3 linked regions of the Daphnia pulex genome follow. The protein of the gene in region 1 purifies or fractionates together with the protein of each later gene. This does not show direct contact. Links are inferred from orthologs where the notes say so. Each region holds a gene or a part of one and is shown on either strand. Other genes may lie near its edges. The genes, in order: dnaJ homolog subfamily A member 2-like; endonuclease G, mitochondrial-like; nuclear migration protein nudC-like.

Region 1 (10,660 bases):
TGCTGCTGTCTAGTCTATATGGGATCGTGCGTTTGTTTACTTGGGTCGACTCTTTTTGAGATATGTTTTTACGTATAGGAGGATGATGACCAGCTGTAGCGCGTTGCGCAACAGTTAGAGCTGCTGAGTGAGCACCGGAGAGAGCTATACACGGTGGCAGCCGGACAAACATGTCAGGTCTAAATTTAATACGCAACACAACGCCTTATTTGTTTGGAAGAGAGGCTTTATTTTTACATTCGTGATTTCAGCCAGCACAGACAGACAACAGCAGCGCAATCTCATGCACGCGTATATGTTTGTTTCAAACTCATCTGCAGATTGATATACGTCAGGTCTTATTCTTCATCAGTTAAGTTATACTATACAATGGGGATTTGGCAAATTTCAGAGGGATTATTATTGCACGTTGACCGTTGGCCATGCATTGAAGAGATTATTGTTCATCGTTACATAGCAACTGAAATGACGATATAGTCGTCGCCGTGGTTTCAATTAGAGGATAATAATGAAGAAACAAGAGGATATGATAGACCGAACGTAGATATAGAATAAGGAAACTGATAGGAAGAATCGACAGGTAGACAGCATGAGAGGAATAATAATCAATTGCTCCAAGAATAACAGTGCTGGATACATATAGATATCTCTTTCCCCCCTTTTCTTTTAACATATTGCTTTGCTTAGCAACGGTTGTCATCATATTCGAGGATTTCACATTGAGTGCGCCATGAGATGTAATGGCTAGATGTAAAAGTATCCGGGCTCTGAAATAAAAGCTTAAAGCTTAATGCGGTCCGGGACCACTTTCATCGCTATCATTTTTAAATGCTACAGTTCATATTATCTGCATTTGAAAAAAAGAAAATTAATTTAATTGAACTTTACCTTTTATCTCTCATATCTTTTAATGAACAAAATAATTACGTGACAAATCAGATCAACCGTACAAACTTGAATGATTTTTCTCGGAAACCTTTCCACTGGTTGAGTGCAAAGTGATTGTTAGAGGTATATCTTAATACAGGATCGCAGCGGGAGTTTATATGAAATCAAGGCTTGAAGCGGGTCGCCATTGCGCCTTGTTTTGTATTGAGTGACAGTTTAATTAGCGTCTAGTTGAACGACGCTGTGCCTTTTGACAAAAATAAAAAACAACTTTTCTGTTCCTTCCCACTCATCATCGTGCCTGGGATATACATGGTAATGGCACTGATGGATTCGCAAACGAGTCAGGCCAGGCTCTCTTTTCCGTCATCAAGCATCGATTGCTTCATGGAATATATTAACAACAGGGTGGCGTATACACATATAAGAAAAAAAAAGGGTAGGCGCGTCATCTCAATGCGCTGGAACTTCCTTTCTAAATGGCGTGATTTATAGGGCCACCACCCGCGTCATCAACAGAAGACCTTCATATGTCACGCTCCCCTTGATTTTTTTTCTCCCTCTTTCCGCCAGCAGCACCTTTGCTTTGAGTCGGCATCAATACCACCCCAAAGTTATAGTCAACAAAGCGATTGGGAACTAACGATCCAGCAGCAAACCAAAGAACAGCAGCCCAGCAGCAGCGCTTCCGATCAGACAAAAGGGAAACAGACGTAATAAGAAGGCCGTCCCAATTACACGTCAATCACGTTGTTGTTTCGGTATAATATATACGCCGAAGAGGAAACCAATCAAGGCTATATAGATGATGAGAGACTTCCACGGGTGTCTATATATCGTCGCTGTTTGATGATGGTCGGTGCAACGGACACTAAGTAGCTACACATGGCTGCTGGAATCACATTATCCACATATTATATCTTTGTTATTTCATATGGGGGGAAATTATTGTTTGTTGTACCCCGAGCGACTGCTGCTGCTGGTGATGAAGCGCAGCTGTTATTGGTTGTTGTCCCTATATCTCACCTCCAGGAGAGTTTTTCGTTTGATGTTGCGTGACTTTATTGAAATGAAAATCGGCTTCAAAGGTGCTCTACCATCAAATCTCGCTCGCACCCCTTTTTTTTCTTTCTCCGTCTATTGCAGATATGTGCAGTATATGCCATACGGGAGGGATAGATGTTAAAGCAATAAGGGGATGCTAGAGCGCGTATATCCTAGACAGACGGGGAAAAAATACACAAGGGCTTTTAGGAGCAATCGACGAATCGATCGCTGACATTTGATATCATGGCTGAAAGTTATTTACCATCGTGAGCTTCCAATGGGCCTTGGTTGCTTCTGACGATGGATGAATGAACATAGCTTATGAATTCGAATTGCTTAGATGTTATTTTAATATGCATATGGGGATGGCTCATCTTACACCCAGATGCGAGTTATATACATATGCAATAAAACGATCGACTCAATCGAAATCGGCGCATTTTTTCTTTACTAACTTTTATGTCTTTTCTATGATTCTCTTTTTTCTGTTTGCAGGTTAATCAAATATTGTCAAGAACATCAGAAAACAGATGTACTCGTCACGGGCATTTCCCCTTCCGAAAATCCCTTCAAGGAGAACAAGACGTGCAACTTGCTTTAACGTTAGCTATATTATTCAGTTATGTTATGTTACATGTTTATGTCCTCAAATGAAATTGTGTTGTCGGTGAATTATCAAACCAAACTAAAAACATCTTTCGTTTCTTTTCTTCCATTTTCCACTTTTTGAGTTCACATTGATGTAAATGGTTGAATGTTGTTTGACCGCTCTGTATCCATTGTCGTTCGAATCGCTGCATCATCTGCCTCTAATCCTTTGAAAATCTTTTACAAAATCCTTTCGTTGTCAAAGTAGCGCAAGCTGAACACACATTTCACGATGAAGAAAAATTGCCATAAAAGCGACTGCCTTTTCTTCGCTGATGCTCCGCCTAGATTACACGTCACGGTGAACAATGCAGAAAAGCCAAGCGAAGACAGAATAAATGCTTCAATGAGCTTCCCAGTTCGGCTGAACTGAACGTCTGAATTGTCAGCCATCAACATCATTTATTGTTCAAACTCGACATGCCGATTTCCTCAAGTCGCAACTAGCGTGATCCCGTTTTTCTGTGTAATCCCTATCCGGAAGCCTTTGCACTCAGATGCTATTCTAGTTTCGACATCCAAACGGAGAACGCACACACTCACATCCCAATCGTCAATTTTGATTAAGTCACTCGAAATGACAGCCAAAATAAAATAAGCTCTGCTTAAGTCTTGCCACAATGTTTCCATTATTGTCATTGAGTTATCAAGATTTGGTGATTGACTAAATGTAGGGATTCGGTAATGATCTGCAGTCAACAAAACCTGTGATAACGCATCGTTTTCTTCTACAAATTGGAACAGTGACATCATTAGCAATGGCGAAGCAGCACAACGGATCCTAATTACAGTATGAGTAATGATGAGTAAACATGACAAGACAGGGAAGGGCTACAGAAAAAGAACCAAGCTTGAAAGCTTGAAGTGACATCGTTTATTTCGTGTTTACCAAAGGATGTCAAGTCGAGATAGGGGGGCCAAGATTCCCAGAGTACAAATTCAAACGAAAAACAGTAATCTTGATTGTTCTTTCACTATATGCCATGAAAGGCAACGATTCACCTAACCAGCGTGACGGTGAACAGTCGACCCCCCACTTCTTAATTTTGCTACACTGGACGAACAAATGTTTTCAGAACGACAAGCAATTTTTTTTTTTTTTTAAAGTCGAGGAAAATGTTTTTCAACTTAAGATAATTCAAGATTTGAAATTTGGTTATAAAGGAAAGGGAATCGCCGAATACGAAAAACAAGATCGACTTGTTTTCGCTTGTGAATCTACTGATGGGCGCACTGTACACCTGGTCCTGATGGACCTCCCTCTTCATCGTCAGAATCATATGCGTTGCTGGGTCCGCCAGCTCCGTCACGGCGTTCATTGGCGTCGTAATCGTGAAGGTCAACCTCCTCGACGTGCTCTCCTGAGGGTGGAATGACTGAGGGTCGTCCGGGTAAAAGTTTCTCGATCGCCTATCGAATTTCACAAATAACAAAATTGAACATTTTGTTATTTCATTAACTAATCCACTCCCAACTGGTTTTCAAGAATTAATGTACCATAATTGTTGATTCATCAGCAAAATGGCTAGAGGGGAACTCTACGTCAAATTTAATAAACAGCTCTCCTTTTTCGAAAGGACTACGGTAACGAGGCATTCCTTCGCCGGGCACCATCTTAGTGCTGCCGGGTTCGACTACGTTTCCTGGTGCTTGTCGGATCACCAAATCACGGCCGTCGAGATGCTATTGGCACCAAAATATAAAACGGTAGAATAAAAAAATCTGTCGAAAAGAAATCTTACAACAACTAACCTTCAACACATAGCAGAACCCACACAATGCTTCAGTCAGAGTTATAGTGTGCATCACGCAAAGATCGTCTCCTTGTCGCTTGAACTTTTCATGGGGTTTCTGTTGCAAAATTATCACTACGTCGCCAGCTTCAACTCCGGGCTATTGGAATATCACAGTTATAAGACACTGCAGATCAATGAATGTTTGTAGTGCAAAATACCTGTTGATCACCTTCACCGCGAAACAGAATTTTCTGTGAATCTTTCATGCCTTTGTCGACGTGAACTTCCAAAATTTTGGTTTCGTTCTGTACTTTCTTGCCTTTACAAGCCTTGCAGCGATCTCTCTCGTTGATCATCTCACCTGTAAGATTAATTCAACATTAGACAAGGAAAATTAAAATTTCCAATGGTTGTTTACCTTCTCCATTACAGGTTGAACATACTGACTGAATCTGTTGCATCATACCAGGTCCAAGTGGTCTCAGGGAAATTTTTATTCCACGACCTTGGCAGGTTGCACAAGTAACATTGGCTCCAGGTTTGCCACCTTGCCTGTAACAGAAAAAAAAATTTGTAAAATACTGGCCAAATCAAATGACATAAAAATACACATACCCACTGCAAAGAGCACAAATGACATTCTTGCTCAACTGGAGCTTGGATGTCTTTCCATTGTAGAGGTCTTCCAATGTCACTCTAAACATACAAAGACATGTTAAAACCTAGAAACTAAAGCTGCACACAGCACAAAGAGCCTTACTTGAGAGGGTGCACAGTATCTTCTCCTCTTTGACGAGTCTTTCGACGACCACCACCTCCCATACCTCCAAACAACCCACCACCAAAGAAATGGGACAGGATATCATCGGCGCCAAAACCACCATGTTCATGTACACCTTCTTGCAATCCTTTCAGTCCATGTCTGTCATAAACTTCTCTCTTCTTTGGATCAGACAAGACTTCATAGGCAAATGATATCTCCTTAAACTTCTCACCAGCCTCAGGGTTCTTGTCAGGGTGGAACTCTTTGGCTAGTTTTCTGTAGGCCTAAAACAGATAGAGAACATGTTAGCAGAAATCAGTTGTCATTACAAAACTGCTAGATAAGTAGCCATTGTTCCTAGACATGCCACGACATGACCCTGAAAAATCGATAGTTTGTTCTTGGAATTTAGAGTCGTATTTCGGATTTTAGAATATTTTTGCTTCACAAAATTAACACCGAACACATAACTACCTTTTTGAGTTCAGCATCGGTGGCTTTGGTTGGGACACCAAGGATTTCGTAAAGAGCATTGTCAGCCATCGCAGATTTTTTGACCAGCAAGATTGCAGAACTTCTAGTAAAATGGTAGGTCTAATTTGTCCCAAAGGCCGCACCACTCTCCTTCTGAGGGCAGTGAGGACAGCAAGTTGGTTCTTTTTGAGGCAACCATCATTAAGGAAACCAGCTAGAGTCACCCAGCGGCGACTTGTCCAATTTTAAGACGGAGGGAATTATTTGTTGGGAGATGAATTTTGTTCCTTTTATTATAATTGAAAACTAAAATTTTAGTGTCAAATTTTGTTGTACTATTTCATGAAAAAAGAATTAACGATGGGAAAACATCACCATCTTCGTTAATTGAGTTCTATTTGATTGATGAGTTCTTTTCCCTACCGCTATGTGGGCATAGATGGTTACTGAAAGATGATTGGCTCTTGTCCAAAGAAAGAATCGGCCTTGTACATCAAGTTATCGGTGAAAGCATCATTGCCATGTTTTTCTTTCTCATCCCGAGCTGCGCAATGGCCTCATTCTTTCGGATGGGAGAATGAATTTTCTGTTTTCGGTGGCAGAATACGAGAGAACACTCAACTCGGTACTCATTGAGGCTAGGTGGTTCTGCAACTTATTAATTACTAGCTCATATAAACATGGTTAAAATATCGACCACATGCCTAGAATGCCTGCCGAACCCACAAATTCCTGCTTTGCGCTCATAAAAAATTTTAATTCGGAGCCATTATTAGACTTCGAGGAAAGCCACGGCCCATGGCTTATCTCTTTTTTATTCAAGGTTATATCATATTTTGTTGCAGTTTGTATTCATCTGAGAAAAAATTTATGTCTCTGATCACTAACAATGGGGCGAAAGTCGAAGTTAATAGGTATAAAGTAAATTTTATATGCTGCACTGATTATAAGAGTGAGCTGTAATTTTAGAATTTACTAATTTGCTCGTGATAAGGGATGAGCATGTCAATGTCATACATAGAGGTTTTTCCTGTTATCTTCCAGACTCGAAAAACAAACAAAATTCGAAAATACGTTGTGCCAAGTTGGTGTTACGAATGTGCTTGATATTTAAATAAAGTTGATCCAATCGTAACAACCTCTAGTTATCGCATTGTTGTATTGGATTTCATAATCAGTTTTATACAGGTAACTGAAAAAATATTTGAAAAATGTTCATAGCCAATGCAATGCTCCTCGAATAATTTATCAAAGCAAATTAAACTTAGACTAGCCGAACCAAATTCCGTATGAACGGAGAAAAATAATTTGTTTTTGGCTCGGCGGTAGCGGCAGGGGAATAGTTGATAGTGCACATTCCTAGACGTTTTTGTCTAGGTCTCTGCCGAACAGCGTTCTTCCCATTTCCATTTGGCTTTAATAGTGCAGAGTATCTTCGTAAAATTGCTGTCAACCTACACTTAAGAACATGCCAATGAAAATTATTCGTTATGAATTCCGTCTTACTTCTTTATTTTTTTAAAATTCTATTTTGTCGTGTGAAGAAGAAATGCATCCATCTCCGCTGAATTAAGGAAATAATTACGGTGTAAAGCGCCAAAGATTAGAACTGATAGAGAGAACAAAGAGCTTTAATTTTCAAAGCACGAGCCATTTGGTACGAGGATTTCAGTTCATGTTTGGCGACTGGTACATTATTATTAGGAAAATATTCTGCGTTTTTCCCAGTTTATTACTGAGAACAACGACATCTGCTGTTCCGTAGGAGGAGGGCACTATTGGCTTCGAAATTGTCGAGTCTAACATTGAAGGAGGAATTCCTAGCTGGAATGCACCTTTAGCTTCGCTCGAATTGGTGTTTCGGCATAACTTGGAATTTTTGGACATTTAGAAGTGATTTTCACTCCTAAAAAGTGTTGGAAATAGTTCAACGATATCATCTTGTTGAGACACCGTGGTCAATTTCTGGGTTTTCCTGCAAATTCATGGTAATGCGAACTTAAAAACCGTTGGGGAAAATGTTGTGTTATGATAATGGGTCGCATTCCAATGACGTCACAAATAAAATGGCGCTGCTATCTACAAAATGAAACTCTCGACGTCCTGACTCAAGCTCAGAATTCTGCATCTAACATTCGACATTTCAGTGCAAAAACAGCGTCGAATATACCGTGAATGTGTTAGTGAATGATTTTTCTTCTGTTCTTTGTTGTACTTTTGTTGGAAATATTGCCATCGACATGTCCAAGCGTAATGGTGAGATCCCTTTGCCTCAAGGATGGGAGCTTGGTCGAGATTACGATGGCAAAGTGTACTTTATTGATCACAACAGCAAGAAAACAACTTGGGTTGATCCTCGAGACAGGTTTGTTAACATTTCAGATACTATTAATTTGAATTATTCTCTTTGGGCCCATCCTTCAAATGATGCTGAGACCTGTTGTCGATTGTGGAATGCTAACATGGCTGTCAAGTCCACACACAATAATTCCAATGAACTTTTGGATTATTTTTCTTCTATTTTGAAGTTGAGCCATAGCTTTTGGGAAATGCATGAAAAAAAATGAGAAATGTCCCCAAAACAAATGTTGAACTGAACTGCTATATCCTTGTTTTGGCTGCGCATACTTCCTATACGTCCATATTGTAAATTAAACATTCCAAGTATCTGTTGATTTAAAATTCAACTGAATCCTAATAGAAAAAATAGTGTTTTAAAATTAGTGTTAGATTCCAAAGAAATATGCAATTAAAATAATAGTTAATTATTTATAAAGTCTAGTGTTAATCAAGTATTGGATTTTTTTTGGTATTTATTTAGGTTAATAAAGCCGCAAACATTTGCAGACTGTGTTGGAAATGAATTACCTTTAGGTTGGGAAGAATCATATGACTCTCAGGTTGGACCTTTTTACACAAACCACATAACCCGTAAGTAAAAAAAAAAAGAAAAAAGAGTCAAGAGTTACATGACCTAGCAAACAAACAATTGTTTAAATTGCCTATTCAGAGACCAATCAGTTAGAAGACCCTCGGCTAGAATGGAGGTCTATACAAGAAGCCATGCTGAAAGAATATCTTCAAACTGCCAAAGAAGACCTTGAAGCCAAGAAAGAGATCTTGGATATTAAACAACAAAGATTAACTATTGCACAAGATGAGTTTCATCTACTTCGCCATGCCTACACAGGGCTTGATGCTTCGCGAACATCATGTAAGTGAAATTCTTCTTCGATAATGTAACGTCACAGGCGCTGGGATATTTCTTAGTTAGAACATCTCATTGCCACCCCACCCCCATCCTCTTTGTCTAACAAATATAATAAATATCCGGAATAATTTTTTTTTACAGTGAATTCCACAAGCAGTGGGTCAAGCACTAAATTTGATCCGGATTTGTTAAAAGCCGATGTGGCTTTAGCTAAAAATAGAGTTGCCCGGTTACGCCGGGATTTAGATGTTGCCAGAGCTGAATTCGCCTATCAGCAACGGGGTATCGACATGCTTTCACAGTAAGTTAGCTCTTTAAAGGAAGAATATCTTAATTGTCATAGAACCTATCTTAATCTTTTCATTTTCTTTACTTGACAGAGCTGAGACTAAATTGTCTTCTTTGCCTTGTGGTTACACATTGCAAGAAGCACAAGCCATGATGGCTGAATTGCGCAACATTCAACACTCGCTATCAAGCGGCGAGAAAGAAAAAGCAGAATTAATGGCTTCGTTGTCACGGTTGCGCGACGATTTAACCCGACTGAAGCCGCTGAACAACGACATGTCTCCAGATTTATCAACGTTATCCCTTCCACAAGAGAAATTTAGCACAGCCTCCCAAACAGATTTATCAGGTAGGATTAATTTAGGGGAGAAAAAAAAACAATAATGGAAATCATCAGTTTTACGCTAAATTTGTCATTTTTTCAGGCGAATCAGCTCCAATCGGAACACGCTTGGCTGAAATGGCCCGAACTCGTCTTCAGTACGACGAAGCAAGAAAACATTTGCAATACTTGCAACAGAAAATGGCAGAACTCGAGGATAGAATCGCTCCTGGTCAGAGTGAATCTGATAAAGACCGACTTCTGCTCATTCAGGAGAAAGAACAACTGCTGCGGGAACTGCGCAGCATCGCACCAAGGTCGCGCTCCAAAACCGAGATGGAAACGGTTCGAACCAAGATTCAACGGCTTGAGAAAGATCTTAGCCAAGCGTTAGAAGCTTCTAATCGAACTATAGCCGATCGACTTAAACTCCACGAAGAAAAACAAATTTTGTTGCAATCAATGAGATTAGCTTTGCGCAACGTAGCACTTTTAGAAGGGCAGCTCCGTTCACTATCTGCCAGCACATTAAGCATGTCAAGTAGTTCGAGTTTAGGATCTCTTTCGACTTCATCTAGGAGCCATGCATCGTCCAAGGTACTTATCTCATGAATTGATTTTGAATCTCATATAATTTATGGGTTTCTTTTTTGTTTCAAGGGCTCTTTATCATCTGTGTTATCGTTTACTGATATCTATGGACCACCACAATACTCTGCCATGGCTAATGCGGCCTTGCCTGGTCATGCCAATACACCTGGAGAAAGCGGATTATCTGGCTCACCAGTTGTAAACATGGCCGACTTACACCGTCGCGTAGAACGACTCCTTGCCAATCGAGAAAATAATAATATTAATTCCAACTCAGTTTCCATGCAAACGTCCGAACAAGAAGCTATCTATGCTAACTTGGTTGCACCACCTAATTTGCTTAGTTGCATCAATTTTGATCAAGCAGGCAAGTTTCCGAGATTCAACGTTGTTGGTTTTTACTTCTAATCGGTTTTTTTTTAACATTAAAGGAAGCACAGTCAGTTACGAACCCAATTCGTCTGATTTGCTGTTCAACGGTCCAGCTTTTAAACACCGATTACCTTCGGAACGGTCGAACGAATCAGGTGTTTTGAGTGGACTGTCGCCAATTCCGGAAGCTCAAGGACTTGTGAATATGACGTCTGGCAGTGAAGGTACTGACTGTGGTACAGTTTCAGCTTCGGCTAGTTGCGAGTCGGTGACGGGAGATAGTGGAGTTTTTGATGCATCGTCCAGACGAACTTCATCTT
Region 2 (10,020 bases), on another chromosome or scaffold:
TGGTGTTGATCAAATTACTTCCAATGACAGTACCGCTTCGGAAACCGAGTGGACATTGGCATCTGTCTATCAACTCCTATGGATCGATTTCAAGTCTTCTTTTTCAAATGCTTATATGCTCAAGTGGTCCCTTTGGTATGAATTATTGATGAGAAAGCCTTCGTGATAATATGCAGAAAATGTTTCATTCTACATTGTTTTTCTTTCTATAGGTGGGCGTTTGCCATGTGCGGTTACTTTCAAGTACTTAATTACATCCAACCTCTGTGGGAAACAGTGGCTCCGTCAGGAACAAACAATATTTACAACGGCGCTGTAGAAGCCACGCATACGTTCCTCAGTAAAAGATATAAAGAAATGTGTATGATTCATAAATTGAAATTATAATCATGCTTTTTTTAATAGGTGCTCTCGCTACCATAGCTATTGGCTATGCGCCCGTCAATTGGTCAGTGTATGGTGAACCTGTAATAGCTGTGATATCATTATTTGAAGGTGCCATGTTATACTTAGCTGGCAGTTCTAATGAACTGTGGGTAGCGTACGTTACTTACATGGCCTTTTGCATAACGTATAGTGTTCTTATTACAATTGCAAGGTATGCATTTCATTGTATGAGATCTTTTCGGATTCTAATATTCAGTTGCTTTTTTAATATAGTTCGGAAGTAGCAAAAGGATTGAAACAGGAAAGCTATGGTCTGGTGTTTGGAATCAACACATTTCTCGCCCTGTTTTTCCAAACTATTCTAACTTTGATTGTAGCAGATAGTGCTGGATTGGCGCTCGAACCTCCGGACCAGGTATTATTAGAAAATTTTTCTTGGAAATTTAAGAATCTAATTAATAAATTTTGTAGTTTAAAGTGTACGGAGGCTATTATTTTGTCCTGGGTGTTGTGTTCATTTCCATGGCCGCCTATAATGCCGGACGTAGAAGTAATTGATTTGGCTAGAAAAACTAGCGCACTCGGTATTTATGATTTCGTTCTTCATGAACGTTACGCATCTTTCCAGTGATAGACAAATTGTTGGTATGTCAATGTTACTAGTCTAAAAAGTGAACCAGTGAAAAAATAAAAGTTTGGCACAAAGTATTTAATAAAAAATTCAAATGTTTTTATTTTAAAATTTTCTTCTTTTATTAGAAATGGCATTTATCCGCATTTATCCTTTTTTCTCCAAGCAATAAAAAAGCATTTGTATTATTATCGTATTTGTTTTTAAAATTAACTAAAAATCGATGACTTAAAGCAATAGCTCCGAGGAGGCGCAGACAGAAAAATAATAAACGAACATACAGCTACGCTTCAAATTTTTTCTTCAACAGGATGTTTCATTTCAAATTTCAAAAAATGCATTTCTTCGTTTGCTGAAAAATTCGTAAAAAATAATGAAGGGAGAGCATTAGCCGCTAGATGACGTCTGTTTTCATGGCGGCTTTAGTTGCTCATTTTAGAAGGCAGAAGAATAAATGTCTCAAGCAAGAAATAAATAATTGCCTTTCACATTAGTTTCAAACGGAAAATAAATGTATACATTAAATTATCCACGCTTCACTGATATGTATTTTTAATTGCACAAAGTGGCTATTAATGGTTCCATAATCTACCGCTACTATTATTGTAAGCTCTGCTGCTCTGGCCGTAGTTCTAGTAAGCTTTGAATTTCGGCGGACAGAAATCCAGAACCTTCCGTCGTCTGTATCGTGTGTAAGCCTTTTCGCGAAGTTTCTCGTGTCCCTCGCTCTCAGTATCGAAATCATTCCCCACTTGGAAACGTTTCATTGACAGTGTGCAGGCGTGTGAATTTACATCAACGTTTCATCCGTACCTTCTGATCGCGATTGTCTTGTTTTATCATGGCAAACAAGGTATGGAAATTAGTATTGTACTATAAAACTGAAAGAACTAGGGTTTTTGATCATTACATTTGTTCTATAAATTTAGGCAACTCAATTGAAAGATCAAGGAAATGCGGCCTTGTCGGCTGGTAAATTAGATGAAGCTGTAGCCCTTTACTCAGAAGCATTGGCTATAGACCCAGAAAATCATGTTCTGTACAGCAATCGGTCAGCTGCATATGCGAAAGCTGGAAAGTACCTGGAAGCTTTACAGGATGCTGAGAAGACTGTTTCATTAAAGCCTGATTGGGGTAAGGGTCATTCACGAAAAGGTGCTGCATTGGCTTATCTTGGCCGTGATGTTGAAGCTCAAAAAGCCTATGAGGAAGGACTCAAGTATGACCCAAACAATGAACAACTTAAAGAAGGTCTTCTTGAAGTGAAGAACAAGGTTGGATCACAAGGAGCAAAACTCATGAATCCGTTTGCTGGACCAGATGTCATGAACAAACTACAGAACAATCCAAAAACAAAAGCAATGTTTGAAGATCCAACTTATCGACAGTTGATCCAAGACCTTCAAAATAATCCAGGTGCGATGGCCACCAAATTGGGTGATCCAAGAGTTTTGGCCACCCTCAGTGTCTTGCTAGGAGTGGATTTGGAGGCTTCAAATGAAGGTATTATGTGAAAACAAAGTAGTGGACAATAGTAACTGAAAAGGAGATGTTTCTCAGGAGATGAACCAATGGATACCACAGAACCTTCACCACCACTTGATCCGAAAGAAGAGAAGAAAAAAAGGGAGGAAGAAGAGAGAAAGAGGGAGGAAAAAGCCAAATATGATGCTCTACCAGAAGAGAAGAAAAAGGTATGCCTAACATGTGTGATTTTCTCAGTTATGATAACAACAATTATATTTAATAGGCTCTTGATGAAAAAGAAAAGGGAAATGCAGCTTATAAGAAGAAAAATTTTGCTGCTGCAATAGAACACTACAACAAGGCTGTAGAGCTAGATCCAACTGACATGACTTATGTCACGAATTTGGCTGCTGTTTATTTTGAACAAAAGGATTACGAAAAATGTGTGGAACTTTGTAAACAAGCAATTGACATTGGCAGAGAAAATAGGGCCGACTTCAAGCTAATTGCCAAAGCTTATACGCGAATTGGCAACTCGTATAAAAAGCTAAAGGTATTTGACATTATTCAAACTATTACTGTACGTCTATTTAAAACACTCTCTTTAAGGACTTGGCAAATGCAAAATTACATTTCGAAAAATCACTCTCAGAGTTCCGCTCGCCAGAGACAAAAACATTGCTATCTGAAGTGGAAAGTTTGCTTCGTGAGGAACAACGCAAGGCATACATCAATCCGGAAATTGCAGAGCAAGAAAAGGAGAAAGGAAATGAATTTTTTCGTAAAGGTAAATCTCTTTTCCGGAAGGAGAAAGTAAACTCAGTTAATTTATTATTTGTTCTCTTGAACTTCCTTACATAGGTCAATACGCTGATGCATTAAAATGTTACTCGGAGGCGATAAAGCGTAACCCTGGCGACGCTAAAGTTTACAGTAATCGTGCTGCCTGCTATACAAAGCTGGCAGCTTTTGATTTAGGTTTGAAAGATTGTGATGTCTGTTTAGAGCTTGAACCATCATTTGGTAAGAAAATGTTTTGGTCTATAGCGCAGTCTGATATTTTTTAATGTCTTTTTAGTTAAGGGATGGATTAGGAAAGGAAAGATTCTCCAGGGAATGCAGCAATATAGTAAGGCTTCTACCGCTTTTCAGAAAGCTATGGAGCTTGATCCAAACGCCTCGGTAGTTTTATTTATTTTGGTTGGTTAAAGAAAAATCAACTCACTTTTTCTTGTGTTTTTATATTAGGAAGCGCTTGATGGCTACCGCGCATGCATGATGCAAACTAACTCAAATCCTGAGGAAGTGCGCAAAAGAGCAATGGCAGATCCAGAAGTCCAAGCTATATTGCGTGACCCTGCCATGCGTATGATTTTAGAACAAATGCAGAATGAACCTCGTGCTCTGCAAGAGTAAGTAGCGTATGTATGTTAAGAGTGATGCAAATATTAACAAATTGTTTATTCAATTTAGCCATCTAAAAAATCCTGCGATTGCTACTAAAATCCAGAAGCTGATTGAATCTGGACTGATTTCCATTCATTAATTAATTGTACCATGCTTACTTTTCTAAGAAATCAAGTGGAGTCAAAATTTTGATTGATATGATTGTCAATTCTTGTATTCTTTTTCATGAAATATAAAAGAAAAAGAATATTTGAAATGAAAAATTTAATTGTTTTACATGATTGTACTATTTTTCACAAAGCTCTCAAATAATGGGTTGTAGTACTATCATGTATGCACTGTAAATTACAACCAAACTTGGCTTTTGCCATTTATAGTTTTTAACTTGTCAATTGACAGTTTGTCAAAAAATAAAAGTCCAGCAGCTCTTTCTACTGTTTCTGGAGGTACTTGAAATACAGACAGTGGAGTTTTGTCATCTATAGGTTGATTTGGCATAACATAGGATTCCAAAGAAAGCTCTTGTTTCTGATTTTCTATGACTACGACTTTGAAGAAATGGGTAGGCACTGCAACATGATTCTTGCCAATTACCTGATATTTTACATACATTTTGCCATCATCTTCCTTCCTAAGTTAAGAAAATATACAATGATAATTATTATTTCCATTTGTTTGAGTAAGCATTCATGTAATAATCATCTACCTGGGCAGGTAGAGTGGTCCTAAAAACAAATTTGTCATCAGATTGATTCCATAAAGAAATGTTTGAGCAATGTTAATTACCTGTGCACACATATACATTTCTGTTTGTTTTAGTGAGATTTCTAACATGTCTCTCCAATCTATTCCATGAATCTCGATTGAATCCTTTTCCAACTTGTGGTGACATGTTGGATAACAGAAAGGTCTGCTGGCAATGCAGTTGATCCTTACGATGATTTCCAGCTGCTGCTAAGTGACCTCTGTCAAAGCCACTAGCTTTGTAGTCAGCATTTGATGATCTGAAGTAAGGATGAATGGATTCATCTTCAGCAAAATCACATTTTGATCGATCAACTTTCTCATTGTAAGCAACAAAATCAGCTGTCAAATGTTCAAACACCCAATGAGCAGTTCTATTTCTTCTATCATATGACAATACGTAATCATCCAGGGACCGTACATTGTCTAGTCCAGGGAATCCAAATCTCATTATCTAATAATTGTCGGAATTTTACTTTAAATTTTGTTGTATCCCATGACTTTGTTTAATACCTGAGAAACTCTAGGGGCATTATTAGAAGGTTCAGGAGGAATATTTTTCACTTCTTTAAAACTAGCTTTGGAAGGTACCATTGAAGCAGCGGATACTGTACCAAATATTGGTAAGCCCGGCATAGGCAAGAGGTTATTATTATGATTGGATGTTGAGTTTTCAGTACGTTCTAAATCTACACTTGGGGATCGATAGAATTTCTCGGTTGCGAGCCCAGCCAAATATCCTCCTATGGCAACACTTGTTACGGTAACAAACTTCATTCGAAACATTATAAATACTGTGTTTAGGTTCCGACAATAGTAAAAAAGAACAACTTAATTTTTAAATGCACACCACAACGCACAATAGACAATGTAGACTAAAAGCAATTGGAGAAATATAGCATTAGCCGCCAGAGAGGGCTTTCAAACATCAAGGGAGTTGCCACATTGCGATTTTTGACTAAATCCATGGTAGAAGCATAGATAAAGAAGGCTCGTTCACTCAACCTGGATGCCACTAAAATCGGCCAGGGGCCAGACACTCGTGTACACGTTACGCAAATGAAGTGCTCCCCTAAACTCATGGATTTGTTCTGGATAATGTATGAAGTGTTGGAGGAAGAGTCCAAGATGCCTCTTTGATTTATCCAAATAATTTCAAGTTTTTGTCTTCTCTCCATTAAATTTGCTAAGATCACTTTGAAAAATAACAACTCTTATCCTTACTATCGCTCCAATGCAGCCGTTGCCATCCGACCAAATTTTTTTTGGTTGTCCCTATTGGCCCCCGAATTCCGGGGGCAAGGGGCCACCAATACGTATCAGAACATCTTTAGTTAATAACAGAACAGATATTAAAAAGCAAATTGAGAAAAACCTTAAATTCGTCCAACATTTCTAAGCCAAAAGAGTCAATCCACTTCATCGGCTGATCAGCCAAGGCTCCTCCAATCTTCGATAAAGTTATGAAGTAGTAGGTGTATGGCAATGGGAAGAATGGAATTTGAAAAGCTAATAAGCTAATTTGAGCGCTAGGTGCGCCACTTCCCAGGAAGGTTGAAAGGAAGGGGATGGGTTGAAAAAGCTACACTACAGGGGTATAGCTCGACCACCGGCCTAGGGTTCAGTAGGCCATGGTACTTCATGTTCTCAGCAAAAAATGGCGGAATTCCGTTTCTCACGATTACGCTCGCGCTACCTATTGGACATATTTTTTAGTCACCTAGTGACGTTCACATTTCTTGACGGCGGGATTGCTTTCAGATTCAACTGCTACCAATGCGCCGAGGCTTCTTGGAGAGGTTCCCGAAGGCCTTTTTCATTCGTAATATGTGGTTGTGTAGTAAATGTGTTTTCGAAGCCACGTTAATGTCTGTTGATATTGAATGCAGGTTTGTTCAAAATGATTGGATTGATTTAATTGTAAGTTGTTTACTTGTTTGTAATCGAAATCGATCGTTTTGAATCGATATTTTCGGTCACAAGTGGTTGATTAAATTTTAATAAATTTAAAAATTCATCTTTAAAATTCTAAAATTCATTTTTAATATTTTAAAATAGAATAAACAAAAATAAGTAATTACAAACACATTTGATTTGTGTTTTGGCGCAATTTTCAAAAAATTAAACATATAAAAAATTGCCTAATCTAGAAATTCTAGATGAATTCGGTATTTTAGGATAAAGAATCACATTAAGCTTAAATGGAGTGGAAAATCGCTTGTTAAAAATGTGTTGTATAATTCAAGTTTTCCCAAAAGCGTTTTTGGGGGGATATTTGGGGCGAAAATGTGGGGTAAATTCTAAATTGGAACTAAAAGAAGTCTGTAATGGGCGGAGCTTAGCTCAGTGGCAACGCTGAGAAAAAAATATAAAAAAAAATTATTTCTTAATTTAGCAATAACCTAAAAACATAGCGAAAAACAAATACTAGGTGGCAAATATAATAGCATGAAATTTTAAAGTTAATTGATTACAATATTTTAGTGCTAAATTTAGATTGTTTCGCCCTGTCCCATACAAACCCCGATTTTTTCCTCGCCCTCTTTTATTTCCGCAACTTTAAAAATTGGTAGCGGGTAAACTATTTACTCTAAAATAAAATAAAAAAACTGGAGATAGAAAAAAGTGAGACGAATACAATATAATATTAGGAAAGGCCCTATACGAGAAAACCAAAGCCGGTTCAAATAACCCCACTCTCTCCTATTCGATTTTTATACTAAGAGCCACCAAAAATGTTTTTATCTTATGAACATCAAGAGCAAAAACAAGATTACTTGTTTGCACTGAACTGAGGGGGTGGGTGGGAAGGGGGTTGGTTTTCTTTTAGGGTGGTGGGTGGGAAGTGGCTCTTTTTTTGCGGGGGGTCGGTTGGGATGGGGGTCGTTTTTTTTTGGATTTTGCGCCTTTTTATTTTTTTCTTTCGTAGGTAAAGGAAGAGAAGAACATAGAGAAAAAGAGAAAAGGGAGTAAAATACCGGGGGTACGGTACTAAGGCACCGTAGTATCCCTTCCGTCAAATTAAACTTAAAACATAGAGAGCCATTTGCCTGTTCAAGAAACTTTCACGGATGACAGTAGAATTGATGTAGGGAAAAACGATTTCAATTAAAACAAATTAAAAAATTTTAAGGCTTATACAGCAAATGTCCTACCCACCCTAGTGTCCTCACTTACCTCTCAAAATAGGCTCCTCCCCAACTTTATCCGTCTCCTACGGGTAAACAGTTTACTTTAAAATTAAATAAAAAAATATGGGGGTTACCTTCAGGGTTGAGACTATCTATTCGATGTACGATGAAAACGTCATCAAAAATACTTGTTTAATTTGTTTCTAGTATATGGCGCAATACTTTTCAAAATGGGTATCGTTCGATTATCGAAATGAGTATCGTTCGATGAACGATACCGATACTTTTAAGAAAGCAAAAGTAGAAAAAAGAGACGAATTTTGTATAGCTGTAATTTCACCGAATATCAGTGAATTTTAAGCAAAACTTTTTTTCGAATGTCCCATATAGTGATATTTTTATTCATTCTAAGTATTTCGATTTTCATAGGCCTACAGAAAAGGCAGGAAATTCTCTCGTTGTTTGTCTCAATTGTCGAGAAAAATAATGTTTTTTTTAAGTTAAAATTTTCCCTAAATTTTTTTCTTTTAGTATCGAAATTCTATAGAGTATTCTTTTGCCGATGAATTTTTTTCACTTTATCGTTCGACTAACGAACATGAAAAAAAACGAAGAATCGCTATCGTTAACGAACATACTTTTTTAGAAGTATCGTTCCCAAACCCGGTACCTTTACATGTGAAATACATAAAATGTAAAAAAAAATAAATAAATAGGGTGATTAAATTGGGAAATAAGGGAAAGAAACAAAAACTGCCCCGCGTTACTCCAGTCTCCCCTACGCAAAGTAAAATGCAATAGCCGTCACTAGATGGGGTTATTAATACTGACAAGGCAAAAGCCCTCTATTGCCCTGTCCGCCTGTCGGACCGGCATGGCAATAGGTCTGGCCATTATTTGTATCTGAAGACTCATTTGATCAGATATCAGCATTACCAGATTGTACACAGAGAGAAAAGGTACTGCGCATTTGCCCAATATCCTACATGAGGTTGCGGTTGCACAAGAATGCTTTTCTAAAGATTGGATGGTCATCTTCTTCTTCTACCACTTGGTACATCAACCAGAAAATATCCATTGCCAAATGAAGGAGGCAATGCATCACTTTGACTTGCACCCGATCCTCTCTACCATAATGAACTTTGCAGACATCTAGATTGAGTGCATAAGCGAGCCTGTAACCAGAAAGTGAAATTAATTTTAAAACAAATATTTACAGAAAATATTTTGTATTTACTCGCCAACGATATCTCTTTGACGACGAGACAATTCTGTCGAAAAATCAAGGATTTCTAAAGACTGTTCAGAAACGAAGTTTTTCAAAAAATTCTGAGCCTGAAGTGAAAAATCAAATGGAAGATTGAAATAATTTCTGTTATTCCCAAACCCCATTTCCTCGAATCCAATGTAACGAATGCATAAGAAAATGAAATCAAGACATATTTAACATTCTAAGATAAGATAGAATTAGTAATATTACATAGGCGAGTCTTGGAATGCGAAGTTAGCATAGAGGGATGGGTAGCAAAAAGCAACGTGGTTCATGGATTCATACAAAAACGAAATCCTCGACATGCTCGTAGGATTCGTCATTGACCACAATTGGGATTGTTGGAGTTGCCAGAATGAGGACTCGAAAGCGAGTTTTATGGACAAATTCCGAGATCTATGGTCGGCAAACGCAATCAGTTTTCCGTCCAGTAGAATTTCAGTCTCCCTAAAATTTGTCATTTTTATTTTATGCAGTTAATTGACTATTAATTTGACTATAAATAAAAACTTTACCATAGCCTCCCATTAGCTAAAAAAGGTTCCCCTCTGAGATGCAATCCCTTATCCTGGCAAGTTTCTTCTCCCGTCTGAATTCTTCCCATAGATTTCCTGCCAAATTATTGAGTTCATGGTAAACTTTGATGGGGTATCGAAACCTTAGAAATTAATCATTATTACAAACGAAGTCCTAAATTTCCATTACAATAGAATAGGCTACTTACTTTCCAACAAATTCCATGTTCATAAGGTTACCGGACAACTTCAGAAGCTTGCGTCTCTCCATTTTCTCTTCATTTCTTTCAATGAATGCCCTCCTCAGATTCCATTGTAGATCTGACTCGTATTTTTTTCTGAAAGATAAAGATTTTACAAAAACAATCCTTCATCAAAATCATCCATCAGTTTACCTGATATCCTCAATGGGTGGAGGCTGTTTCATTTTAAATTTAGCTAGAAAACAAACCAGTAAATATGATAAAG
Region 3 (10,869 bases), on another chromosome or scaffold:
ATACCTGCATATGTTGTTTGTCGTAGAGCTCCTCTTCTTTGCGTGGGAATCAACTTGTGAGTCCTTGTTTTGGAAATATGGCCCAACTTATACAGACGCTCATCTTTATGCCCAGGTGAGATTTTGCGCAGTTGTAAGCAAAAGTCTATTTATTCAAAATGCCAGGCCCTACACACCTGGTCCGTGTGGACTGGGAGGAGAGAAAACTATGATCGATAAGAATTGTATTATACGTTGGCAACGGTGAAGAAACTTATTTCCTGCGGAAGGGACTGGACTTTCTGAATATAAGACGAAACTGATCCGGCTCATTAGTGAGCTACTTCCGTAGAAACGAGTCAACTTCTAATATATTACCTGAGAAACGTCACATGAGAAAAATGAAAACTAATTATGCCGTTTGATTAAGAAGAGACAAAGACTAATATAGTCACTACTATTCAGCTATTTCAGCAGAAATGGAAAACTGGATTAAACAAAAATGTCTGGCGTAATTATATCTGACGAGATGGTAGCATATATTACTGAGCTCGTTGCCTAGGTGACGTTGTTAAAAGAGGAACCTCTGGACAAAATTAAAGTTGTTTTAAATTTACACAATTATCTTAAAAAAACAGATTTAAATGAATTTAAAAATCTCGTCGAAATAACTTCAACTCTCAAGGCCACCGTGTTTGCACAGGCTCACCTCTCCACAACACATTTTTCCGTTGGATCCATTCTGCCATGAATATTGAAGTGCTAAATTTTTGAAACGCTCTCCACACACGCCTACCTGACTCCTACGCGAATCACATTCAAATTTCCCGCGCCATCCGATTTCCCCCCCCAAAAAACCCAGGAAGCTGCACTTAACGTTATTGTCATCCAAACGCGTGTGGAGAGATGTGAGTGGCCCAGCAACAGCATCAGAGTCTTTGCTATTCGAATATTTCAGTATATATACATTTGGGTAATAACAGACAGATTGTTTGAATAATAGAGAAGGCTTTCACGCGGCTCCCGAACGCGGCTTTACACTCTCAGGGCCATCACATCTGTATAGAATTCTGGGAGCTCCCACCAAATTTTCCTTGGAAAATTTACGACAATCGGCCGATATTTCTATTCTTATTCTCTGTCTATTCAGATGAGATTCGTATGCTCACGATAGAATTGTGAAGAACCTGCCGATCGCACGATAAAGCTGCCGCCGTGACGGGTCAATGAACTTTGTTGGTTGCTCAACCACTCGGCGACTCGACGAATAGATTTGAAATCAATAAGGAGTACTATACAGGTTATAAGAAATAAATGATTATTTCTAGAGAATAGAGAATCGAACTCATTGTCATTCCCGTCACAGTTGAATCGTTCCGAGATTTGGCTGGCGAGTTTCCAATCAATTCGTGAAAGAAACCGTTCACGTCGCCCGTTCGTCGTCGAGATATGTCGCAACACGGTTGTGCACTCGCCGGTGCAATGCACTTAATATAAAATAAGAAAAATCGACCAGATGTGATTCTCTCACAGTCTGGGATGATGTTGGAAAAGAGATATACATGCGGATGGTACGAAACGAATTATTACGAAGGTTCTATACTTCTTGTTGAAGAAGAGCTATAACACTAATGTGTCGAAAAAGGGAAGAAGATTGCGCCACTCTGCTAGAATTTCAAAATGATACCCTGAAAAGTAAAGAAGACGAAAGGGAAAAAGATTACCGAACATTGCGCAATAAAATTTGAGGGAAAAAATGTAATGAAAGTAACAAACAAATTTTATCAAATTAAAACAAAACAGGTATAAACAAAAGCTTATAGTTCCACCAATTGCCACAGGATCGCTTCTGGTGGCGGAAGCTGTTTTTACCTGTAGGGAAGACCCGACGTAGTGGGAATAATTTTACGAGTTGCACGGCTTCATAGGTAAGTAAAAAAATAAATATAGTGACTAATACATTTGCAGTACAGTGGAAATAAACGATAGAGGAAAACAGATTTACTGCGTGAGGTTGCGTGGTAAATTCTTCGTTGGAATGTTAAAAGATTTATAATCGTTATTTGAGTTCCTTCTGTGTGCGTATATTCCGAAAGGATAAATAGTTGGTTTGAGAAACAACAGTTCGACTATAATAGCTTGTTTAAGAGTAGGAAGAGGTACGAGTCAATTCAGGTTCGTGACTGTGCAAGCAATATCGTATTTATATATGGTTTGGTAAGTGTGACTCCCACCACGGAAGAACCTATGGGTCGAATCTTTTCCAAGCTAAATAACTGAGTTATAGTATTGCACTATCGCAAATGATTACACTGCTGTTCAAATCACGCCATAGAAACTATAATTCTCATTTAATTTCATTTAATTTTGAATTTTCCCGGTGAAAAATCGATTAACAAAAATAATCGATGTGTAGCAGACGACGTCAAGTTGACGTTTTTCTTTTCGGCGTCTCGAGTTTGTTTTTCAAAGATGTTTACTTTTTGGATGATTGCTGTATTTATTTTGATTGGATCACTGTTACCAAGTATTGTGAAATGGGTGAGTACAATTTCTCGTCTCTGTGATACTCGATTCTTAATTCAATATTCAGTTAGAGTAAAATAGTTTGGAAGTTAGAAAACTTGCTGCTAGAAATCAATATTCGAGTTCAATATTGGAAATATGTCCTTAAACCTTAAAGCTTTAACCCTATCATTGTTTAATGTATATTTCTATTCTGATAAAAATATCTGAATAAATTAATCTTGGTGTGTGAAAGTTTAGACACTTCACAATACCGTCAGAATGTTGAATTAAAATTGAGGTCTCAAAGTGTGCTCTAATCAAGATAAAAGTGGTTGTTGTGCAAAAAGTAGTGTGACTGATGACACTTGACTCGACTGTTGATTACACGAGATTTTCTTTCTTTTTTTATAGGGAACACACTTTGTATTCAAGGTTAGTGATGAGGAAAAGAAGATTCGTGAAGAATTCAGAGGACTCAGGAAAGAGCTGACTGGCATCTCAGCCGTGGACGAATTCGCACGTTACGCCCGAATCCAGCGGAAAATGAACAAACTAGACGAACAGATTCAATCCCTTGGACAATCGAGGATGGACGGCAGGGAGTCTGTCCGATGGAAACTAACCAAAGCCATCCAAGTTGTCAATGTAATGTGATATGTTTTTTTTTCTTTCAACTCAAATGTCATTGAACTTTGGTTACTCAACCCCTCCTGAATTCTTCCTTTTACCATATCTGACAGGGTGCCGTCCTAGTCTACCTGGCTGTCACTCAACGCTACGAACCAGTTCTGACTGGACTCCCCGACTGGTTCTGGCCTTTGAATCTCTTGCTCAGCTACCCAACCGGGATCGAAGGAGCCCTCAGCATTGTATTCTGGTTATTTATATGCAACAACGCCTGTCGGGCACTCATCAAATAAAAACATACACACGTGGTGAACAAACAAAAAAAAAAAATTGGTTTCGAATTGTATTCTTGGAAGAAATAAGAAGGAAAGTTAATTAGCAATTCTTTGTTGTGTAGAAATGGAAATTTGTTTTTTTAAGAACTCGTAAAACAATTCTTGATATCGCTCAGGAAAACTTGCACTTGCTGAAATCCATTTCGGGGTGTTGTTCCATGAACCTGTGATGAAAATAATTTGGTTTAGAATATAACACAACTATTATTATTATTATGATTATTATTAAAAGACCCACTTTTTCATCATATCTTGTTTCTTTTGTTCTTCGGATGTCGGCAGCCCCATTTCCTTCTGACGCTGGTCGTACATCATCTTCTCGACTAACCCCCGCGTCTCTCCGTCCAGGTCGGACAGCTTCGACGGTTCGGGATTGATCTTTTTGGTGTTGATCTCCGGATCGGACAAGACCAGCCGGCTCCACCACTCCATCTTGTTCACCTTCTCCAGCGTGATGAGCAACGTGAGCTTGTCTTCAATCAGCCACGTTGATTCCTCAATCTTGACGTCGTGCAAGAGTCGATCGTCGACGACGGCCGGCAGTTGATTCTTGATGCCGGCCTTGAGATGATTCTTCTGGATGTCGACCGTCAAGTCGCGGGAACGAAGTCCGGCCTTGGGCAACGGGATCCGCACCTGTACAACAACAACAAAATCAAAAAACAAAAAAAGGTTGAATCATTTTTTTGGTTTAACTTAATCAACTTTTCAATGACCCCCCTTAGGCGCTGCAGACAGTTTTAGAAGATTATACTGTATAGGGTGTTGTACCTGTTGGGAGGGACTGGTGTGGCGAAGGGGGAATATAAGAGAAGTAAAAAGCAAGAGTGGAAGAAGAAGGAGGAGGAGCAGAGCAAAGAAGAGAGGGGGGTTTGGTCCGTTTGGAAGGAGAGGTCGTGGATCAGTTATGCCGAGAGAGTCCACCTTTCCAGTCGCCTTTTTTCCGCCAAAGTCAGATATAACACACGGCCAACACAACCAGGAAATTCAAGTGAAAAATGACGTTCAACGGGAATTGGAGTCAAACAAGGAAATTCTTCCCGCAAATCCCCCAAGTTCACCAGTACCACTACCAGGAGCAGGTCAGTCTCAGTTGAATTTTTAACAATTCCCACCTTTTCAAATCAAATCAGGTACGTTGATTCTCAATTAGATTTCCAAGAGAAATGCGATATGGTTGAAATTGACGGAATGTCAAGGTCGGAGAAGATTGCCGGGGTTAACGTTCTGGTTATAGCTACTAAATACCCAACGACTAAGCTTACTCTCTGTTGCCTGCGTTGTCAACACACATGTCATGTAGTCCCGTGATGCCATTATACAAAGGTGGGAAATGGAAGAGGTAAACGACCTCACCCTTGACCTTGACTCTGTCCGCGATAAAGAAAACCAGTTCCTCTTAGCTGCTGCTGCTGGTGTAGTAAGTATAGACGGAAAACCCTCTGCCTACGTTGTTTAACCACCGAATTCAGACCCGTTATCTTCTGCCCTTTTCGGAGGGGAAAGAGAATAGTGTAGTAGTATTTTTCCAAAAACCAAGGCAGGAGTGGGAAGGTTGTTGGGAACGAAACCAACGAAAGTAAAAACATGTGGGAAACACACAAACAAGACAGAAAAAAAGTTCAGTTACTTTTGGGAACCTTTTAGAGTTTTATTTTGCGCACTTTTGACCTTCTGCAAATGTCCTCTGAGAAAGGGACAGATGGCCGTCATCACGACGTCCAACAATCAAACAAAATGAGGAATTTTGTCCGACTGGTGTATAATAAAGAAAGGTACCGGGTGTAGGCGAGGGGAATTTCCGCGCAACACAAAAGAAAAAAAAAAAGTTCTTTTCTTTTTTCTTTTCGTGAGATCCGGAATTCCACAGACCAGTTGCTATCCTGTTTGGCGCGTCAAAGATAAAACCAGTCGGCTGGTACGGAGACGCACACCCTACACACACAGCTAGGAGGATTGTAGAGAGCTAGGTAGTACATAGACTCGCCCCGAGGGGCCCACATAAATACAAAATGCTTTACAATAGATTTAGAAACAAAAAATCTCTTCTTCCTATGCGCTTATTTCTGGTTTTTTCCCTTCATACGGTTAATTCTGTGTTTGCGATACAACAAAACAACAACCTTGAACCTTCTGGCTGTATCTATCATTGTGGGGGATCAACGAAACGACGGCGCCTGTCCTTCGTCTTCATTTCAGGGCGAAAAAAAGAAAGAAATTCCTGGTAACTTATTTTTTTCCTGACATTGAAACTACAGGGGACGCTTCACATCCCACGGCCTGTTCTCACCGTCATCCAGGTGCCCGAGGAAGAGAGTAGCGTGCACAACAGCATGAGCCTGCCACCCACACCGCCTTCGTCAACGTCCAGCAGCAACGAGCTGACCATGTCCGTTACGGGGAGTTTCGGTTACGACCGGTGCGACACCCCGACGAGATTCACCTTACTGGGAGAGTCGGGCGTTATCGTCCGCACTCACAGAACGACACCCACCACTTGTCAATTGTCTATGACATTTTGCACTTTGGCACTCTTGGCCTTGGTAGGAATGATTGTCTACATGGAAGGTAAAGTGTTAATAACCCTTAGTGGTCAGAGTTTCTAAAATAATTTTTCCCCTTCTCGTTATAGTTTACATGAATGGCAGCCAAGTTTAGGACTTACCTCAATGTCTGAGAGGGTTTGAGTCCATCGGTAGTTTGGCAAATCACATCCATTGCCGGCATTGGGTTTGAGCTTGCCAGCATCCTGTGGATCTTCCTCTTCGTCCTTTTTGCTGGTGCTGTCGACTTCCTTGGAGGCTACTTTGGCTACTTCGTTAGACGATTCCTCTTGCTTCTTCTTTTGCTGCTCCACCATCTCGGCAGCTTCTTCATCCGTCAGTTCTTTGATTTTCGGTTCGGCAGCTTCTTTCTTTTGCTGCTCCTCCAGTTGTTGTTTCAACTCCTTTTCCCGGCGTTCCTTGATCTTCCTTTCACGCTCCTCGATCTCGGCCTTTTTCTTGGCTGTTTCCTGGTCGGCTTTGATCTTGTATTTGTTGAACTTTTCCATCAGCAACTGGAGCAACAAGGAAAGAGGTTAGTTCATCGTACAAAGAAAACAAAAACACACAAGCTTTTCGCAAGAGACCAAATCACACTATGTCACAATATAATCATTCTATTAATATTTATTCGCTCCATGTTTTCTCCCTCTACTCATAAACTTGTGTGACATGTTTTTCTTGAATTCTGTCAGTTTTCTCATGATTTGTTCCTCACGAAAAATATATTTTGGCCTAGTGCTACGTGAAATGTTGGTCGTTGTTACCTTTTCAGCTGCTTGAATTCCTGCACCAGTGTAAAAATCTGTTTTCCGACACAGGAAGCTGAAGAATGTGTCCAACAACTGCAAGTGTCATAAAAATAAAATGTAATATTTAATCAAAACAAACTAGGCATCGACAAAATTGCAAACTTACATCCTGAACACCGCCTTCATGTTGAGTTGCAATGGACAGCAAAATGCCATCAAACGCTTCTGATTTATCAGCCATTATTTTATTCGAATTAAAAAGTAGTTTCACGTGTTAAAAATTCCAGAATCTTCTGGCCAAATTCGGACAATAACGATTTCGAACAGCCGACGACGTAAGCAAAGTAAGCAAACACGCTGCCTAGAAACCAACAATGTTGCCGATGTAAAAATAAATAACATGATTAATAACGTTCTTATCGTGTAATTTACTTCAAATTTTTAATTTTAAATTATTAAAGGCAATTAAAAATGTATTCATATTGAGTAACATGTTAATAAATTATTTTGCTTAAAATTACACAGTGTTGTCGTTTGACCAAAACATGGCCGTAATGGTAGGAGATATTGGCGATCCTGAAATAAACACTGACGTGAGTTTTATGGGAATTTGAGAAGACCCGTTCCCCAACTCTGAACGGTCTCTCTTGAGGAATTTAAGCCTTTTATACGTTTTATCCCCCAAGCTAAATTGTTCGCCACCAATTAACTAATTGCGTTGAAATTGGTTATGGTTCAATAAGTCGATGAACCCTTGTAAGTTTTACGTTCGTCTACTATTGTTTATTCCCACCTACGCTTCGAACGTTAACGATGCTAGACATTAGTATCCTCGCAGGTACTTTGTCCTTTAAAACAATTGTTTCCATGTGTAGAAACATGCTCATTATCATTTGTTTGTTCAGATTGAATGGATCTCGGCCAATGATGGACCACACTGAGCTTACACAATTTGCTCTCAAACAACTTTTCTACCAGGTGAAACAAGGTTTCCCCGAAGTACCTGACGCAGTTGTCAATGACTGCATCAGAAAGGTAACATTGGGAAGTGTAATATTTTTCACCCGAGTTAACCCATGTGGTTTCGTGCAGGCTGGTTACAACAGACGAGCTGCAGAGGCCCTGCTGCAGAAAGAAGCCCCCAAGTATGGACGGTTTCCCCTCGTCAAGAAAATGCCTCAGGGTCCCCCCAAAAGCCTGTCGGCAGGGAATTCACCACTTGATGGTGGACACAAACCCCTCGTTGACTGCCTGACACCAACCAAAGTTCCTCCGCCACTGCCAGTCACTCCCCCAGTGGGTGCAGCTGCCTCTACCGGTCCTAGTCCACCGATCTACACGTCCCCACTCTACCGACCCGATATCGACTTGTCTCTGCCGCCTCCAGACCTCACTGGCGGACGAGGGGCCTCGTCCCAAGTCCAGGTCTTTTGCGATCAGCCGAGATCGTCCACGTCAGTCAACGTTATCCTGCAACCTGACACTGTTCCTTACGTCACCTACTCGTCGGCCTCGACGGACCACCACCGAGGGTTGCACTCTCAACTGAAAATCACAATCAGTCCTCAAGGTATTGATCCATTTCCTCTCTGATCACCAAAATTCAAATTGATTGTATTCTATATTTTCAACCCCCCCACTTTCTTGCCCCATTTGATTGACTCGACAAAACAACAGGAGGAACAGTTTCGGCCGTCCAGCGGTCAAACATACTCTCCCCATGGCACTACGGTGTGGGACCGACCCCGAATTCCGGCAGCATAAACTGTCTGCAGAGCCAACAGCAGCCTTCGATGTCTTCGGTTAGTCTACCGGACCAGGCGGAGCACATCAGGGAGCAATGCGAACGGCGGGAGTCTTTGCGTCGATCCCTGGCCGAGGATCGCCAACGGCTGACCTCGCTGAGCCAGAAAGTCGAACGCCTTCAAGAAGAATTGACCAAAGAGAAACAGCTCCTGGACACCAATAATCTACCCCGAAGAGAACCGATCCAGCAACCGCAGCAGCTACCACCTGCTGTCCGGTTCCCTCATTTCCCGCATCCAATCCAGCGCCAACAAGCCGTAAAAAATGAATTTTATCGATTTAAAATGAATCCTTTCTGATTTTCTTTGATTCCAAATGATTTCCAGGTTGTTGATTTGGAACATCTCAAAGGCGAAGTCCGCAATTTGGAACAGGAGTGCCAGCGGATGTGCCAAGAGCTGTTCACTCGACAGAGCGACAACAACATCCGGAATCCGCCTTCGACTCCGTCGACTCCTCACTCGGCCGGCACTCCAACTTTCCACAACGGGACTCCGCCTCCTCTGGTTGCCACCGTGACGGAGGAGGACGACGAGTCGGACGGCTGGAACTGCAGCCGTTGCACCTTCCAGAACCACCCGGCGCTGAGCAAGTGCGAGGAGTGCGATTCGCCTCGGCCGCCACCCGGCCAGCCGGGCCACTCGTCTTCTCCTTCGTCGTCGTCGCCCATCGTGACCTCTTCGACCCAACAAGGTGACCTACTGCCCGTCCAGGGCGATACTCATAATTCTACTTGTAGTCATATTGGTGATGATAATAATGTGGTGGGTTGCTTACTCGAATGGACGCAGCTGGAGCTGGCCAGGTTGTTGTTGTTGTGCTTTTATTGGCTTTGTCTGACCTTTTGCTTATTCTACCAATTTCTTGTCCTCTTTTTCCGGGTGTGGTGGTTGTGGCTTTCTCTATTCCCAGCAGGGGTGATGGCCGTCCGCAGCTTTATACCGTACAGTCGCAGGCCGGGAAACATTCACATCCACGTCCGTCACCGTCCGCGTAAATACCAAACCTCACCTCATTTTGGCTTGATTGGAAAAAATTCGTTTTTCAAACATTTTTTCCCGCCTTTTCGTTAGAAATTTTTTGAAATTGCCGCTTCTTTTTTTTTAAATTTTTATTTAAAAAAAGCTTAGAAAAATCACACACACACGCTATAGACTCGACTAACCGTAACCGTCAACTTCTTTCTGTTCCAGGAACGATCCAAGGGTGGGGTGTCTAAAACAAAACAAACAAAACACAAACAACGAAAATGTCAACTTTGGATTTTTTCTCATATCCGCCTGTTTTCGCTTCTTTCATGGATTTTATTTTTATTTTCTTTTTAATTTTTTTTTTTCTGGAAAAATTCCATCAGCCGCCATGTCGTCGGACGGTCTGGCCGCCCAATCACCAGTGAAATAATGCCCGAAAGGAAACGGTGATTTAAAAAAAAAACATGGGTGTGTGTTTTTTCTTTTTTTTTTTTTTAAATAATTTCGTTTTCAATCTCCTTCTTGTCTCCTAGAAAAGCAGCTCGTTCGAATATCATTTCTATTCAATGAATGAACATTATATATATAGCAAAATAATTATTTTCATTCATTTTTCACAGTCCTCTTGCGTCTGTCGCTCCCTATAGCCCGAATTTCGCCGTGTGTACATAAATTATAATGATATACTTATTATTGGTTCATTTTTCATATACAATCATCATCCGTCGAATCATTTTGCGTTCAACTCTCCGTTAGCTTTTTTGTTTTTTAAAAATTAAAATTGTTTAGAAATTTTTATGAATCCGGAACACAGTGTGTATTATAATAATTAACGATTAGTGAAAATCGAACGACATGTTAACATGAGGGGTTGGGGGTTGGGCGATAAGGTGGAGAAAAAAACGGGAGGCGGGGTTGCAATTCTCAAAAACACGCAATGGAACATTTTGGGAGGAAGAAAAAAAAGTAATTTTTAGAAACTTTTAAATAATAATAATAATTAAGAACGCCAGAAATGGTGTGCGGGAGAGAGAGAATGCGCTTGTTTGTTTGTTTTTTTTAAATAACCAATCACCGACAAATTTTGTTTTTTCGTCTCTTTTCACGCTGTGGGCGCGCGAACTTTCGACTGGGGATTTTTTGTTTTTTTAGTTTTTCTTTAAAAATCCCGTCCCAAAAAAAAGAAAATTTTTTCGCTGATTTTGTGTTCGTGAGCGTGAAACATGAAAAAAAACCGATCAAAAAGTTTAAATTCGATTTTCAAAAAATAACTTTAAGAGGGAGAACGAATTGCTGAAAATTTTTTTTAAAATTAAATCAATCATCAATGGAAAATCATCATCGAGAC

What was found.
Region 2: the proteins of dnaJ homolog subfamily A member 2-like (region 1) and endonuclease G, mitochondrial-like purify together in Homo sapiens (affinity purification with mass spectrometry; 3 studies listed by BioGRID and IntAct, with this or other methods). This does not show direct contact. The link is inferred for Daphnia pulex from reciprocal best matches to the Homo sapiens genes DNAJA2 and ENDOG.
Region 3: the proteins of dnaJ homolog subfamily A member 2-like (region 1) and nuclear migration protein nudC-like purify together in Homo sapiens (affinity purification with mass spectrometry; 4 studies listed by BioGRID and IntAct, with this or other methods). This does not show direct contact. The link is inferred for Daphnia pulex from reciprocal best matches to the Homo sapiens genes DNAJA2 and NUDC.

What each region holds. Positions count from the first base shown.
Region 1 is NC_060020.1:3,554,869-3,565,528, forward strand, and holds dnaJ homolog subfamily A member 2-like, read right to left. Parts: upstream 5,725-10,660; 5' UTR 5,626-5,724; coding exon 5,557-5,625; intron 5,367-5,556; coding exon 5,080-5,366; intron 5,016-5,079; coding exon 4,935-5,015; intron 4,872-4,934; coding exon 4,738-4,871; intron 4,681-4,737; coding exon 4,538-4,680; intron 4,477-4,537; coding exon 4,336-4,476; intron 4,267-4,335; coding exon 4,081-4,266; intron 3,994-4,080; coding exon 3,802-3,993; 3' UTR 3,443-3,801; downstream 1-3,442. Other genes in the region: protein kibra-like, read left to right, coding at 7,797-7,921, 8,378-8,487, 8,567-8,770, 8,909-9,068, 9,148-9,404, 9,481-9,974, 10,038-10,335, 10,400-10,660. UniProt on the Homo sapiens protein: Co-chaperone of Hsc70. Stimulates ATP hydrolysis and the folding of unfolded proteins mediated by HSPA1A/B (in vitro).
Region 2 is NC_060024.1:9,161,145-9,171,164, forward strand, and holds endonuclease G, mitochondrial-like, read right to left. Parts: upstream 5,575-10,020; 5' UTR 5,423-5,574; coding exon 5,150-5,422; intron 5,091-5,149; coding exon 4,679-5,090; intron 4,618-4,678; coding exon 4,599-4,617; intron 4,524-4,598; coding exon 4,238-4,523; 3' UTR 4,089-4,237; downstream 1-4,088. Other genes in the region: thiamine transporter 1-like, read left to right, coding at 1-135, 213-340, 406-598, 661-802, 859-945; stress-induced-phosphoprotein 1-like, read left to right, coding at 1,860-1,871, 1,948-2,521, 2,579-2,712, 2,769-3,038, 3,095-3,272, 3,347-3,508, 3,564-3,667, 3,734-3,897 and 1 more. UniProt on the Homo sapiens protein: Endonuclease that preferentially catalyzes the cleavage of double-stranded 5-hydroxymethylcytosine (5hmC)-modified DNA.
Region 3 is NC_060028.1:841,218-852,086, forward strand, and holds nuclear migration protein nudC-like, read right to left. Parts: upstream 7,122-10,869; 5' UTR 6,986-7,121; coding exon 6,911-6,985; intron 6,838-6,910; coding exon 6,760-6,837; intron 6,744-6,759; exon of another isoform or gene 6,508-6,743; coding exon 6,115-6,507; exon of another isoform or gene 6,108-6,114; coding exon of another isoform or gene 6,082-6,107; intron 6,018-6,081; coding exon of another isoform or gene 5,708-6,017; intron 4,532-5,707; coding exon of another isoform or gene 4,448-4,531; exon of another isoform or gene 4,294-4,447; intron 4,086-4,293; coding exon 3,688-4,085; intron 3,661-3,687; exon of another isoform or gene 3,614-3,660; coding exon 3,562-3,613; 3' UTR 3,445-3,561; downstream 1-3,444. Other genes in the region: guided entry of tail-anchored proteins factor 1-like, read left to right, coding at 2,452-2,520, 2,899-3,132, 3,228-3,407; uncharacterized protein LOC124208453, read left to right, coding at 4,448-4,531, 5,708-6,017, 6,082-6,107; TGF-beta-activated kinase 1 and MAP3K7-binding protein 2-like, read left to right, coding at 7,669-7,779, 7,837-8,314, 8,422-8,807, 8,877-9,243, 9,342-9,543, 9,744-9,951. UniProt on the Homo sapiens protein: Plays a role in neurogenesis and neuronal migration. Necessary for correct formation of mitotic spindles and chromosome separation during mitosis. Necessary for cytokinesis and cell proliferation.